Anolis sagrei: one gene and its partner. The protein of the gene in region 1 interacts with the protein of each later gene in a pairwise test. Links are inferred from orthologs where the notes say so. Each region holds a gene or a part of one and is shown in the gene's direction. Other genes may lie near its edges. The genes, in order: ZMYM2 and FOXP1.

What was found.
Region 2: the proteins of ZMYM2 (region 1) and FOXP1 come close enough for resonance energy transfer, tested with the Homo sapiens proteins (2 studies listed by BioGRID). The link is inferred for Anolis sagrei from reciprocal best matches to the Homo sapiens genes ZMYM2 and FOXP1.

Annotation. Positions count from the first base shown.
Region 1 is NC_090023.1:27,920,558-27,927,700, forward strand, and holds the start of ZMYM2 (zinc finger MYM-type protein 2), read left to right. Parts: upstream 1-4,129; 5' UTR 4,130-4,279; intron 4,280-5,689; 5' UTR 5,690-5,780; intron 5,781-7,143. UniProt on the Homo sapiens protein: Involved in the negative regulation of transcription.
Region 2 is NC_090022.1:39,731,209-39,738,410, reverse strand, and holds the start of FOXP1 (forkhead box protein P1), read left to right. Parts: upstream 1-4,147; 5' UTR 4,148-4,235; intron 4,236-4,548; exon of another isoform or gene 4,549-4,637; intron 4,638-7,202. UniProt on the Homo sapiens protein: Transcriptional repressor. Can act with CTBP1 to synergistically repress transcription but CTPBP1 is not essential. Plays an important role in the specification and differentiation of lung epithelium.

The DNA of each region.
Region 1 (7,143 bases):
CCCCAAGCTGGGGATCTGTGACATGGGTAGTGCAACCTCGTCAAGCACAGGTTGCCACCCATTACCCTCATCAGACATACGACTGACCTGGAGTACCTCTGTCTTGTCGGAATTAATCTTCAGCTTGTTCGCCCTCATCCAGATCATCGTATCCGAGGGGCTTTCTTGGATTCTGATGAAAAAGAGTAGTGGAATTGGGTGTCATCTGCGTAGAGATGGCACTGTACTCCAAAACTCCAGATAACCTCTCCCAGCAGAATATAAATAAAGATAGAGCGGAATACAAATAAAGTTTTTATTATTATTACTTATTATAAGCGAGACTCTACTGTGAATAAAGAAATAATAAATAAAAATGTGTGAAAAAGATCTTGGAGTCCTCGTGGACAACAAGTTAAACATGAGCCAACAATGTGATGTGGCGGCAAAAAAAGCCAATGGGATTTTGGCCTGCATCAATAGGAGCATAGTGTCTAGATCAAGGAAAGTAATGCTACCCCTCTATTCCGCCTTGGTTAGACCATACCTGGAATATTGTGTCCAATTCTGGGTACCACAATTGAAGAGAGATATTGACAAGCTGGAATGTGTCCAGAGGAGGGCGACTAAAATGATAAAGGGTCTGGAGAACAAGCCCTATGAGGAGCGGATTAGGGAACTGGGCATGTTTAGCCTGAAGAAGAGAAGGCTGAGAGGAGATATGATAGCCATGTATAAATATGTGAGAGGAAGCCACAGGGAGGAGGGAGCAAGCTTGTTCTCTGCTTCCTTGGAGACTAGGACGCGGAACAATGGCTTCAAACTACAAGAGAGGAGATTCCATCTGAACATTAGGAAGAACTTCCTGACCGTGAGAGCCGTTCAGCAGTGGAACTCTCTGCCCCGGAGTGTGGTGGAGGCTCCTTCTTTGGAAGCTTTTAAGCAGAGGCTGGATGGCCATTTGTCAGGGGTGATTTGAATGCAATATTCCTGCTTCTTGGCAGGGGGTTGGACTGGATGGCCCATGAGGTCTCTTCCAACTCTTTGATTCTATGATTCTATGATTAGCATTTAATGGCTTGGAAGTGCCTGGGGGAATCTTTCTTTGAGAGGTGATTTGATGTGCCTGATTGTTTACTCTCTGTTGTTTTGTAGAACAGGCCTGGGCAAACTTTGGCCCTCCAGGTGTTTTGGACTTCAACTGGTACAATTCCTTAAGCAACGAAGGTGCAAAAAGGAAAGTGCCAGAGGCTGTTAGGAATTGTGCCAATTGAAGTCCAAAGACCTGGAGGGCCAAAGTTTGCCCAGGCCAGGTGTAGAACCGTGTTTTACTTACTTAGGTGATCCCTCGTTGGACGAGTAAGATGGTCTTCCTTGATGACTATTTTTGTGGGTTTGTAGGTGGCTGTGGAGCCCTATTCTTGACCCGCATCTTCTCCCACAGTGAAGGCATTGGTTTCCAGGTGGAAGGCGGTCTCGGTCGGGGTTGGCTTGACGCGCCTTCCTCTTGGCACGTTTCTCTCTTTCACCCTCCACTCGTGCCTCCTCGAATTCTGCAGCACTGCTGGTCACAGCTGACCTCCAGCTGGAGCGGTCAAGGGCCAGGGCTTTCCAGTTCTCAGTGTCTATGCCAGAGTTTTTAAGGTTGGCTTTGAGGCCATCTTTAAATCTCTTTTCCTGTCCACCAACATTCCGTTTTCCGTTCTTAAGTTCAGAGTAAAGCAACTGCTTTGGGAGACGGTGGTCAGGCATCCGGACAAAGTGGCTGGCCAGAACCATGTAATGCTGTTGGAACTAAAATGATTAAGGGTCTGGAGAACAAGCCCTATGAGGAGCAGCTTAAGGAGCTGGGAATGTTTAGCCCGAAGAAGAGAAGGGCAAAAAGGAAAGTGCCAGAGGCTGTTAGGAATTGTGCCAATTGAAGTCCAAAGATCTGGAGGGCCAAAGTTTGCCCAGGCCAGGTGTAGAACCATGTAACGCAGTTGGAACTAAAATGATTAAGGGTCTGGAGAACAAGCTGGGCCGGCCACGTTGTCCGGATGCCTGACCACCGTCTCCCAAAGCAGCTGCTCTACTCTGAAATTAAGAATGGAAAACGGAATGTTGGTGGACAGGAAAAGAGATTTAAAGATGGCCTCAAAGCCAACCTTAAAAACTCTGGCATAGACACTGAGAACTGGGAAGCCCTGGCCCTTGACCGTTCCAGCTGGAGGTCAGCTGTGACCAGCAGTGCTGCAGAATTCGATGAGGCACGAGTGGAGGGTGAAAGAGAGAAACGTGCCAGGAGGAAGGCGTGTCAAGCCAACCCCAACCGGGACCACCTTCCACCTGGAAACCAATGCCCACACTGCGGAAGAAGATGCAGAGCAAGAATAGGGCTCCACAGCCACATGCGGACCCACAAGGAAATCCATAATGGAAGACCATCTTACTCGTCCAACGAGGGATCTCCTAAGTGAAAGTGAAGGAGAACAAGCCCTATGAGGAGCAGCTTAAGGAGCTGGGCATGTTTAGCCCGAAGAAGAGAAGGGCAAAAAGGAAAGTGACAGAGGCTGTTAGGAATTGTGCCAATTGAAGTCCAAAACACCTGGAGGGCCAAAGTTTGCCCAGGCCAGGTGTAGAACCATGTAATGCAGTTTGAACTGCATGCTAAGGTCAGAGCAGTTTGAACTGCATGATATAGTCCAGACTGCTCGGTGTAGAACCCAGCCTTAGCTTCTCCCTGGGTTTATTTGTCCACCTGGAGGGTAATCTTTTAGCTCTTTCCCCGTAAACACAGAGAGACAGAGAGAGAGCGCCCTCCTATTAAATAGTTTTGGCTTAAACCTGTTGGCTGCCTCCGTTTCAAAAAGTGGCGCTGCTCCAGTCACTTTGGCGTTTTTATTATTATTATCATTATTTTTTTGGTGGCGCATGAGAATTAGCCAGAGCTCCAAAGAGCCAAGTTGTTAAGACTCCTTTGCTTCTCCTCCCGCGCAATTACACACACACACACACACAAAACATAAATAAAGCCTTTCCCTAGGGAGTGTGCAAGCGTGAGAATGGCTGCAAGGTGGAGTGAGGGAAGCGAGGTGGTGTGGAGATATATATATGTGTGTGGTTTTGTTTTTCTTTCCTGCCTCTTTTTTGTTCCCTTTTTTTTGTCACAGCAGGGTCACAACGGGTGGCTCCAACCAAAACACGAGCCATGGATTGGGAAAAAAGGAAGGGAAGGGGGAAAAAAAACTGGGGCGAAGCCAAGCGCGCAATAGGAGGAGAAAGCGCGCATCCTCCATTTTGGTTTGAGGGGAAAGTGGGGAGCTTTGGCTGTGGGTGGTTTCCTTCCCACCGCCTTGGGGCTTCCTTGGAGGTTCCCTCTCCTCCTTCAGGGCTCCCTCCTTGAGGGGAAAAGGGGCTCTCCTTTCAGAGCCCCATCTTGCTCTGAAGGGATCCCCCAGAGAAGCTCCCCATTGCAGCAGCAGCAGCAGCAGACAAAATGGAGGACGCCACCACCATTCAACCACCACCACCACTTCCACCACCAGGAGCCGTGCTGGGCTTCATTGCCTGGGATTGGTCTCCCTTTTGAGGAGATTATTGGAAGTTGAAGAGCATGGGCTCCTCTTATTAGTGTTCATTTTGGGGACATTTGGGAGGGCGTCCCTATTGTTGCCCCTCATGTTGCCCCTCCCCCTCCCCCAGGGCGCCATGTCCTGAGGCACCAATTCCAACCAAACGACCCCATTATGGAAATGGGGGCGCCTCCTCAATGATTGCCTGAGATTGTGGAGGGTAAAATCCATGGGGGGGGGCAGGGAATGGACCACCACTACCACTGCCACCTCTTTTTGTGGCAAATGTGGTTATTATGTGATTTATTACTATTTGGTTACTATTGTGATTATTGCTTCATGGAGGGCCAACAGAGCGCCAACTTCTGCCCCAAAAGCCCTCAGGAAGCAGCGCCCCCTTGAGGGACGCAGAGGCAACTCGGGTTGTCTCTAACCTGAGGGATACCAAAGAAAGGGGCGGGGCTACGAGGCGCGTGATTGGCAGGCGGGGGCGCTCAACCAGCCGCGCGGGATGATGACAGGCAGGCGGTTGCTCCAATAGCTTTCCGGGCGGCAAAGCCCTCCCCCTGAGGGAGCCAATAGGCGCGAGCACGAGGCTGCCTATCCACCCCTCTCTTTCCCTCTCCCTTCCCCCCACCTCCCGAAGGTTGGGTTTGTCCCTCCTTCGCCTCGCCAGCAGCGGCGGCGTTTATCCCGGGACTGGACCGAGTTAGAGTTGAGGCACTGGCGCGGGAAGCCATTAAACGGTGAGAGAGGCAGGAGGAGACACGTTGAGCCCTTCGAGTGGAGAGAGAGAGAGAGGGCGGTTAAAGCAGGGAGGGAGGACTGCTGAGGGGTATTTGGCTTGATCCATTTTAGCACACCGGGAGGGGGGTGCGATTCCTGTCAAGCGCGGCTTTGAAGCCCAGCGGCCTCCCTCCTCGCAGTTTTTTGTCTCTTTTTTGTTTCCGTACTCGCTTGCGTTCCCTTTCCTCTTTTTGCCCTCTCCCTTCCCCCCCCCCCTCCGTATTGTTTGGTTGGGTCCCCATTAATGGCGGCCGACCCGAGGCTGCAGTACCGCTGGCCGACAGCAGGGGGCCAAGCGCGCCGCCCGGGGCAATTGGGAAGGGAGGCCGAAGGGACAGTTGGGCCGGCCCACTTTCCCCAGAGGGGGGGAGGAGGGAGGATTGCATGCGGTGGGGCTGTTTTGTGTGTCAGTGGCGGGGGAAACCCTGGAGGCAGTTCCTCCCTTTCCGTCTTTGGTGGGGTATTGTGTGTGTGCGTGAAGGAGAAACTCCTCCCCTTTGCCCTCTTTCTCCACCTCTATTCCCCCTCCCCCCCCCCTTTATCCCCTTCGCCTCTACCTTCTCTCTGGGGCAAGAGGCGCCCATTCCACTGGAAAACTGTAGGCCTAAGGGAACTGGAGGTAGACATTTGGGACCTCTCTGGGGCCACGCAGCGAGGCAGGAAGGAAGGAAGGGCGTCTCCTGGAGGGGAAGATGAGAAGGCCCACCCACCTACTAATGCCAGCATTTTTACCCCCAACACCACCATCTCTTTATTTGGGGTACAAATAGAGAAGGGGAAGATAAAGGGAGCCCACCAGCCCTATTCTGGCCCCTTTTCTCTTCTTGACTCCAGCATCAATATATCTTTTGAGAGGATTGGGGGCTCTCCCTCAAAGAAGGAAGGGCGTCTTCTGGAGGGACAGATATGGCATGCCCACCAGCACTATTCAGGCCCCTTCTCTCTTCTTGACCCCAACATCAACATATCTTTTGAGAGGAGGGGGGCGTCCTTAGAGGATTGGGGGCTCTCCCTCAAAGAAGGAAGGGCGTCTTCTGGAGGGACAGATATGGCATGCCCACCAGCCCTATTCAGGCCCCTTCTCTCTTCTTGACTCCAACATCAACATATCTTTTGAGAGGAGGGGGGCGTCCTTATAGGATTGGGGGCTCTCTCTTAAAGAAGGAAGGGCGTCTTCTGGAGGGACAGATATGGCATGCCCACCAGCCCTATTCAGACCCCTTCTCTCTTCTTGACCCCAACATCAACATATCTTTTGAGAGGAGGGGGGCGTCCTTAGAGGATTGGGGGCTCTCCCTCAAAGAAGGAAGGGCGTCTTCTGGAGGCATGCCCACCAACTCTATTAATGCCCCCTTTTCTCTTTTTCTCAGGATTATCAACACCTCCTCCTCCTCCTCTCTTTTCCCCAGGCCACTTTGGCGCAGCCTTGGCAAAGCCCAACCTGGAGAAAGGAGCTCTATTGTGAGTGCTATTTATATATGCTTTTTTGCCTGGGGGAGGAGGAGGAGGAGACTTTTTTTTTCTTTTTTGGCATTTGGGAGGAGGGGCTTCCAGGGCAATGGTGGGGTATTGGGTGCAGCAGGGGGAGCATTAGCAGCTGCTTGCTGCCCTGGAGCAAAGCCCTGTAATGGCCGTGAGGAGACTCCTCCTCCTCTCCCTCGGGGTGGGCTCTGCTGCAGACAGCGCTCCTGCCATAACCAACACCCTCCTGCTGCTGCTCCTCCCCGCTTTAACCAGGCTCTTCTCTGAGAAGGATATCTTTCGAGAGCCCTCTAGAGTTTTGGAGCCAACACCAAAGTGACATACTATAGGCAACCGGCAAAAAGGTCACAGAAATAATAAAAAAATTAAATTGTTTATAATAAAGTAAAATCAGTTTTTATAATATAGTATTAAGGCTTATCAATAATAATATTTACTTATTTATTTATATTCCACCCTATCTACCCTAACCATTTAATGAAACCAGTATTGAAGAAAGTGGTTTTGCTGTGCAACCAGTATTGAAGAAATTGGTTTTGCTGTTCAGATGATTACACAGGAAATCTTGGAACTGATTTGGGGGCCAAATGGTGGTGTTCACACAAACCACAGATACTGATGCACACATTAAGGGTTTGCTTTTGTGGGAGTTTGTTGTCTGGCAGCAGCAGCTTGAAACTTGCTTTGAACTGCATTAAATGGTTAGTGTAGAAGGGGCCTAGGTTAAGTTTGTCTGTATTTTCTTTTAATTACAGTATTTCAATATTAATAACAAGTCAATAAAGAGTTTATGATATGTTATGGGATATAGTGTTTGATCTCTGTTGAAGAGTAACTCTCAAGTTCCCAGCAACTACATATATCTGGCATCTTCCTATCCCCATATGTGCAAATACACTGATAGTCCACTGTGTTTAACCAGGTTTCCAATTTTCATTCCCTCACAACTCTCCCAATGGCCTGCAACCTTACTTGACTTTGTGGCTGGGTAGGAGAGACTTAAAATAATCCAATCTTTGGCAAAGTGTGGTTGCTTCTTCTTTTTCTTTCATGGAACTGGATTTGTTGAGGGTTTGGGTGCATCTTCACAGAATTAATACAATTAGACACCACTTTTACTGCCATGGCTTAGTGCTATGAAATCATTGAAGTTGTAGTTTGGTATTTTATCTTATCAGGAGTGAACCAAAGGTACTGTTTTAATGTATTTTTTAAAAAGATACAAAGTTTAAAAACTTGATAATTATATTAATTGTCCTTTGACCAGTAATTCGCCGTTTGGAGTGCCTCTGGTGTCACTGTAAGAAGGTCCTCCATTGTGCAATGTGGCAGGGCTCAGACT
Region 2 (7,202 bases), on another chromosome or scaffold:
GGGCTACACAGCTGTCATAAGTGGAGGGTTTGAATCCGCATTTGAATCCAGACTCTTATGTGTCTGCAGTGTCAGATTATCATCTTTATTCCGGGAGTTTGAGCCATTCAACATTAAGCACATTTAATTTAAATGGGAGACATTGAAGCATTTTTAAAAGGTGTGCTTTAAAATTAATTTGCCTTACAATATGATGTAACAATGATTGCCACAAATATTTATATAACTCAAAGGGGGACTTTAAATAAAACAGGACAAGAAGACATACAATCATAGTGTTATATATATAACTAGTAACCTTTGCAAAAAAAAGTTGATATGGGCAAAGTGAGTGGATGGGGCAAAAAGCTTTTAGATTTGTTTTACTAATGTTTATATTATTGTGTGCTTGTTAAATTAAGTGGTATGTGATTATTTTCTATGGTATACAATTTATTGTATTTGTTTATTGTTGTAAGCCACCCCGAGTCCCTTCGGGGAGATACAAATAACAACAACAACAACCACCTTTATTTGTATAATAATAACAATAATAATCTTTATTTGGGTGGGATAGAAATAAAGATTATTATTACTATTATTCGATAAATAACAAGATTAGTTCACAGCAAACAAGATCATTATGCTGGCTGTTGTATTTGATCACTCGTCAGACACTTCCCAAGTATCCAGGACTATGTAATGTATCAGCAAATAATGTATGCAGATCTGAGTAGGGTGGCCCCTTTTGCAGCTGACAGGTGGTAATTTTGTTAGCACTGATTGCTTTTAAGTGCAGGCCAAGGTCTTTAGGCACTGCACCCAGTGTGCTGATCACCACTGGGGCCACCTTGACTGGCTTGTGCCAGTCTTTGCAGTTCTATCTTTAAATCCTCGTATGATGTCAGCTTTGCCAGTTGCTTCTCGTCAATCCTGCTGTTGCCTGGGATTGCAACATTGATGATCCATACTTTCTTTGTTTTCCACAAGCATGAGATATTATTATTATTATTATTATTATTATTATTATTATTATTATTATCTTTTAGCAAAAGCCTTGAGAATTTTCTGGAGGAAATCTTGGAACCAGTATTTCCCCTTAATTAATAAATAGTTCCTCCTAGCTGTCAGTGGTTAAAACTCCTATGAATATATATATATATATAGAGAGAGAGAGAGAGAGAGCAAGCCCTCCAACACTGTGCAAGAACATATTGTCCAGGCTATGAACAACATTTTATTAGAGCTCCGTATTTATAAATAGTATAAAATGAGTGAATAAGTGGGTTTGATTATGCATTACAAAGAAGAGGGTATTGTTTAGTGGTTGGGCCACAGCTTGGAGTGTCAGAAGGAGCTGGGGATTGAATTCACAGCCAGTGAAAAGGCAGGTAAAAGTAACCCTTTCCATCCCTAGTTGGACTTCGGAAAGAAAGGAAAATGGGCTGCTGTGAGTTTTCCGGGCTGTGTGGCCATGATCCAGAAGCATTCTCTCCTGACGTTTCACCTGCCTGTATGGCAGGCATCCTCAGTGGTTGTGAGGTCTGTTGGAAACTAGGAAAATTGGGTTATATATCGGTGGAATGTCCAGGGTGGGAGAACAGAGATAGAAACACCATTTCCTAGTTTCCAACAGACCCCACAACCTCTGAGGATGTCTGCCATAGATGCAGGTGAAACGTCCGGAGAGAATGCTTCTGGAACATGGATACAGAGCCCGGAAAACTCACAGCAACCCAGTGATTCGGGTCATGAAAGCCTTCGACAATGCATTATTGCAGCACTTTGGGGCGGAAAGACCGTGTGTCTCTTTTATTAAAGGGCAGGTCAGAAGGCTGCTTGAAAAACTGGAGGAGCCTTTAACAGCCTCACTAAACTACAAACCCCATAATTTTGCAGAAGGTAGAAACCGGATTTGAAGTGGTCTTTTTGTCCTCTGGAGTCGCAGAAAATGTGTGGATGGAGGCGAAGAAACGGCCTCGAGGTGGGAAGGGCTGATGATAGTTGTATATAATCTCTTTAAGAAAGGCCCAGATGTGATACAAAGGTTCCTGGAAGGCGAAACGTTTTGTTTCCACACACAAAACAACCTGCCGTGAGTGGCCAGCCTGTCGGGGAAGAAAGAAAAAGGTGGCGCTTGGGTGAAACGTGGCAGCAAAGTTCTGTGGATTGCCCTGGGCAATTGTTGCCACGCTTAACCCAAACGCTACCTACCTTGTACTTCCCGGAAAGGCAGGCCACTTTGCATGGAAACACAACCCTTTCCTTGGCAGGCTGGCCCAATTTTGCGCCTCGCTTTGGAAGGAAGGCAAAATGGGGACTTGGATTTCCCAAAGTACTCAACGAGAAGTTTTCTTCCTCTTTTATTTTCCCTTCCAAAGAGCCCTTAAGCAGGGCCCAGAGCGCGCGCCCTTCTCCTTGCTCCCTGTTTCTAAAGAGCGCTGAGGGTCCAGTGCGCGCGCCAGAGGACCCTGGAGTGCGCGCGCCCTTCGCCTTCTCCTTGCTCCCCTGTTTCTATTTCTCTCTCTCTCTCTGCAAAGGCTGGCCATGCCTGCTTGGCTTCTGCCTTGCGAGGCGGCGGGGGTTTGTCCTCCTGCTGAACTTTCACCTCTCGAACTCGGCGCCTTTCATTGGGCAAAGTGCAAAAAGGAGGCGAGGGGAAAGAGAGAGAAAGGAGAGAGAGAGAAAGAGGAAGAAGCCGGCACTGGGGCTTCTAAAACAACACTCGCGCTTGGGAAGGAAACAAGGCAGGCTCGCCCTCTCACTCCCAACTCCTTTCTTCTATTAGGATTCTGTTTAGGAAAGGAGAGAAAGCCCCAAGCGAGCCCAGAGCTGGGAGCTCTTCAGGCACCTCTTTGCCTTTCTTCTCCCCCTCGTTTCTCAAGGCTCGCCCTCTCACTCCCAACTCCTTTCTTTTATTAGGGTTCTGTTTAGGAAAGAGGAGAGAAAGCCCCAAGCGAGCCCAGAGCTCTTCAGGCGCCTCTCCTTTCGCTTATCCTTCCTCCTCCTCCTCTCGTTTCTCATTCTTTTCCTTCTCCAATTTGTGCCCTTCCTTCTTTCCAATCTGCCTCCTTGCCCTCTCTTTTCACCAACTGCGGTCTCTTTTCTCTTTCCCTTCTATCCCCCTTCTTCTCTCTTGGAGCTCTTCAGGCACCTCTCCTTCCCTTTCCCTTCCTCTTCCTAGTCTTCCTCTTTGCATTTCTCTTCCTTCCCCGTTTGTGTCCATTTCTTCTCTTCAATCTGCCTCCTTTCCTTCTCTCTTTCCCCCAACTGCAATCTCTTTCCCCTTTCTCCTCTTTCTCTCTTGGAGCTCTTCAGGCGCCTCTCCTTTCGCTTATCCTTCCTCTCGTTTCTCATTTCTTCTTTTCCTTCTCCAATGTGTGCCCTCCCTTCTCTCCAATCTGCCTCCTTTGCCTCTCTCTTTCCCCCAACTGCAGTCTCTTTTCTTTTTCCCCTCTCTCCCTCTTCTTCTTCTCTCTTGGAGCTCTTCAGGCACCTCTCCTTTTGCTCCTTCTCTCGTTTCTCATATCTTCTTTTTCTCCCTTCTCTCCAATCTACCTCCTTCCCCTTCTTTGAGCTCTTCAGGCACCTCTCGTTCCCTTTGCCTTCCTAGTTTTCCTCTCATTTCTTCTTTTCCTTCTCCAATTTGTCCCCCCCCCCCCTCTTCTCTCCAATCGGCCTCCTTTCCCTCTATCTTTTTCCCTCAACTGCAACCTCTTTTTCCCTTCTCTCTTTGAGCTCTTCAGGCACCTCTCATTCCCTTTTCTTTCCTAGTCTTCCTCCTCCCATTTATTTCTTTTCCTTCTCCATTTGTGTCCTTTCCTTCTCTTCCAATCTGCCTCCTTTTCCTCTCTTTCTCTCCTTTTCCCCAACTGCAATCTCTTTCTCTTTCCCCTCTCCCTCCCTTCTTCTCTCTCTGAGTTCTTCAGGAACCTCTCGTTCCCTTTCCCTTCCTCCCATTTCTTTTCCTTCTCCGTTTGTGTCCTTTCCTTCTCCTCCTTTTCCCCTCTCTTTCTCTCTCTCTCTTTTTTTTTTTTTGCACTGAGCCTTGTTTACCCAGCAGGTGGATGTGACGTCAGGGACTCACAACAGCAAAAAATAACAAAATCTCCCTCCGCGGGGTGTTATTTTTCTTCCGAGCGGAGAGGCGGGGGAGGGAAAAGAAGGGAGAAGAAACCCAAACACAAGCCCGGCTTCCTCTTCCCCCCCTTTTCCTTCCCAAAAGAGCCAAACTCCAAAGTGGGGAGCAGACTTTGGTAGGAAGACAACACGGAGCGGGTGGGGGACAGGCAAGAGTTGGCGAGGGAGGGCTTTTCTCTGGGCTTCCTCCTTCCCTGGCTTTGCTTCTGCTTCTGGATGAGCTTCGCCTGCTCTGCCTCCTCTCTCTCTCTCTTCTCTCTCTTCCCCCTTTTGGGAAGCTAGTTCCCGACTCCAGGCGGAGGGCTCTATTGTTGTTTATTGTGTGGCGGGGCCGCACGCTGTGCCTCCTGCATGGGGCTGGCTGGCTAGCGAAGGAGGAGAGAGAGAGAGAGAGGGATTGAGGAAGGAGGGAGAGGCAAAGGCGAGGGGCAGGCAGAGGCACCCACCCGCAGTGGGGGGAATAAGAGAGAGAGAGAGAGCCCCTTAGCTGGCACCGCCAGGGCCGCGCTTCCAAGCGGGTGAGTTTGCCATCCTTGCGCCGCCTTCGCTCGCAACTCTTCCTCCTTTGCTTTCTGTTTGTTTGTCTCTCCCTCAGAGCCCTCCCCCACGCCCAGGCCCCTCGCCCCACGTGCCACAGTGGAGACCCGGCACGGGCCAACTTGGGCCCTCACGCCACGGGACTTGGGGGTCCAACTCCCACCATCCCTCACAGCCTCAGGCCCCTTCCTTAAGCGGCTGAGGGGGGAAAGGAAAGGGGCCTGAGAGGCTGAGAGGGATGGTAAGAGTTCAGCCCCTCTCCCTCCTCTTCCTCCCAAACACATGACCGCCGCAAGTTGGAAGCAGCCCGCACTTTGGGGACCCTCCTCCAGGGTGTGTGTTGGGCATATCTATAGCTCTACCCCATAGGTGTCTCTCTGGGAGAGAGGAAGGGAGGAGGGCTCGGCCCCCCGGGGGGGGGGGAGGAAGCGGGCCCGAAGGAGAACTTTGGGCGCCGCTTGGAGAAACTTTTGCCCGGCTTCCCTCGCGTGTGCATCAATGGAGAGAGAGGCCTTTGGGGGAGGCAGAGGAGCACCAATACACACACACATCCCTTCGCACGGTCCCCAAGCTCGAACTCGCCGGGCTGGCCCCTCACTTTCTCCCACCGCTAAGTCGCCCAATAGACCGGCCAGCATTCAAGGTTGCTCCTATTACTTCCTCTCTTTCTCTCTCTTTTCTTCTCCCACCTCCTCTACTTCTTTCTCCTCTTCTCTTTCTTCTCCGTCTTCTTCTCCCTCCTCTACTTCTTTCTTTTCTTCTCCCTCTTCTTCCTCCTCTACTACTTTCTCCTCTTCTTCTCAGTCTTCTCCCTCTTTTTTTCTCCCTCCACCTCTTCTTTCTTCTCCGTCTTCTCCTCTTTCGCTTGCACCCCCTTTCTCTCTTCCTCCTTCTCTACTTCTTTCTCCTCTTCTCTTTCTTCCCCGTGTTCTTCTCCCTCCTCTTCTTTCTTACTCCTTCCTCTTCTTCTCTGTCCTCTACTTCTTTCTCTTTCTTCTCGGTCTTCTTCTCCCTCCTCTTTCGCTTGCACCCCCTTTCTCTCTTCCTCCTTCCCTACTTCTTTCTCCTCTTCCTCTTCTCTTTCTTCTCCGTCTTCTTCTTGCTCCTCTTCTTTCTTACTCCTTCCTCTTCTTCTCTCCTCTACTTCTTTCTCTTTCTTCTCCCTCTTTTTTCTCCCTGCTCCTCTTCTTTCTTCCCCGTCGTCTTCTCCCTCCTCTTTCTCTTTTCTTTTCCCTCTTTCTCCTCTACTTCTTTCTCCGTTTTCAACCTCCTCTTGCTTCCCTTTTCTTCTCCCTCTTCCTCCCCCTCTACTTCTTTCCCCTCTTCTCCCTCCTTCTCTTCTCTTCTCTGCACTCCCCTCGCGCGTGGAATCTCCACCCTTAAAGCGGACTTTCCTGGAGAGAGTTTGCATGCTCCAAGGATCCACACAACACTCGTGATTCCACTTTTTTGAAAGACCCGCTCTTTACCCCTTGGCCACTTGGCCTCAAGTCGCGCAAAGGCAAAGGGCGCGCGGGTGACCCAACCGAGAGCGGCGGTCCCACGCGCGGAGGCCCCCCTCGCTCCTTCCCTCCCTCCCTCCCTGGAGTTGGAAGAGGAGATCCTAAGGGTCATTCTGCCCCACCCTCTCCTTGCCAGGCAGGAACACACAACCAAAACCCTCCCAACAGACGGCCACCCAGCCCCTGATTGAAAGTAAACGCGCGGAGAAGGAGGGAGGGAGAGTCAGGCGTGGAAACTCGGCAAGGCCACTTCGCCTGCGGGGAAAGCGCAACCACAAGCCATACATCAACCTTGTTCCGTCGCACCAAGCGCCCCCAGTCCCACCCCCTTCTCCCCTTCCAGGCCAAGCGAGCGACTGGTGGCTGAGGGAGGCGGGAGGGAGTCCCGGGAGAGATTTTCCTCCCAACTTTCTTCTCCCTTCGCGAGTCTCCCGGGTGCCGGGACTCGCGCGCCAAGTGCCACCAGCGGGACATTTCCCACCCTTTCCGTCCTCGCGGCAGGTTTGAGCCGGGAACAAGTTGGGAAAAGTTGGCGCGCGCGCTCGGCTCCCTGCGGAGTGTCTTCCCTTCTCCACACGCGCCTTCCTCTTCTCGCCCCCCCCCCCACTCCATTGCCCCCCCACTCCATTCCCCCCCCCCCAAACCAAGTCTCTCTTTCCTCCTCTTTCTCAGCCCAGAACCAGGGAGAGCCAGCCGGGAGCGCCCCTTCCCCCATTCACCCCCATCTTCCCCTTGTCTTGGTACCTTCAGCAAAGCCCCGGCTGCCTTCTGGTCAGGAATCTCCGAGCCCACGCTTGTCACTTCTTCCCCTCCCACACCAGCTCCCTGCCCCGGTTTGCCCCGAAAGACAGCAAGAGCGCAAGGAGGGAGGAGTGGATGGAGAGAGAGAGACAGAAAGAAAGAAACGCCTGCGTGCCTGTGGCCACCTGAGAGCCTGTAACCAGATCTGATTCCCTCATCCCCTTCCTTCCTTCCTTGCAAGTGCTTTCCAAGGTTTTCCCTCTCTCCTCTCTCTCTTTCTCTCTCTCTTTCTCCCCCCCCAAT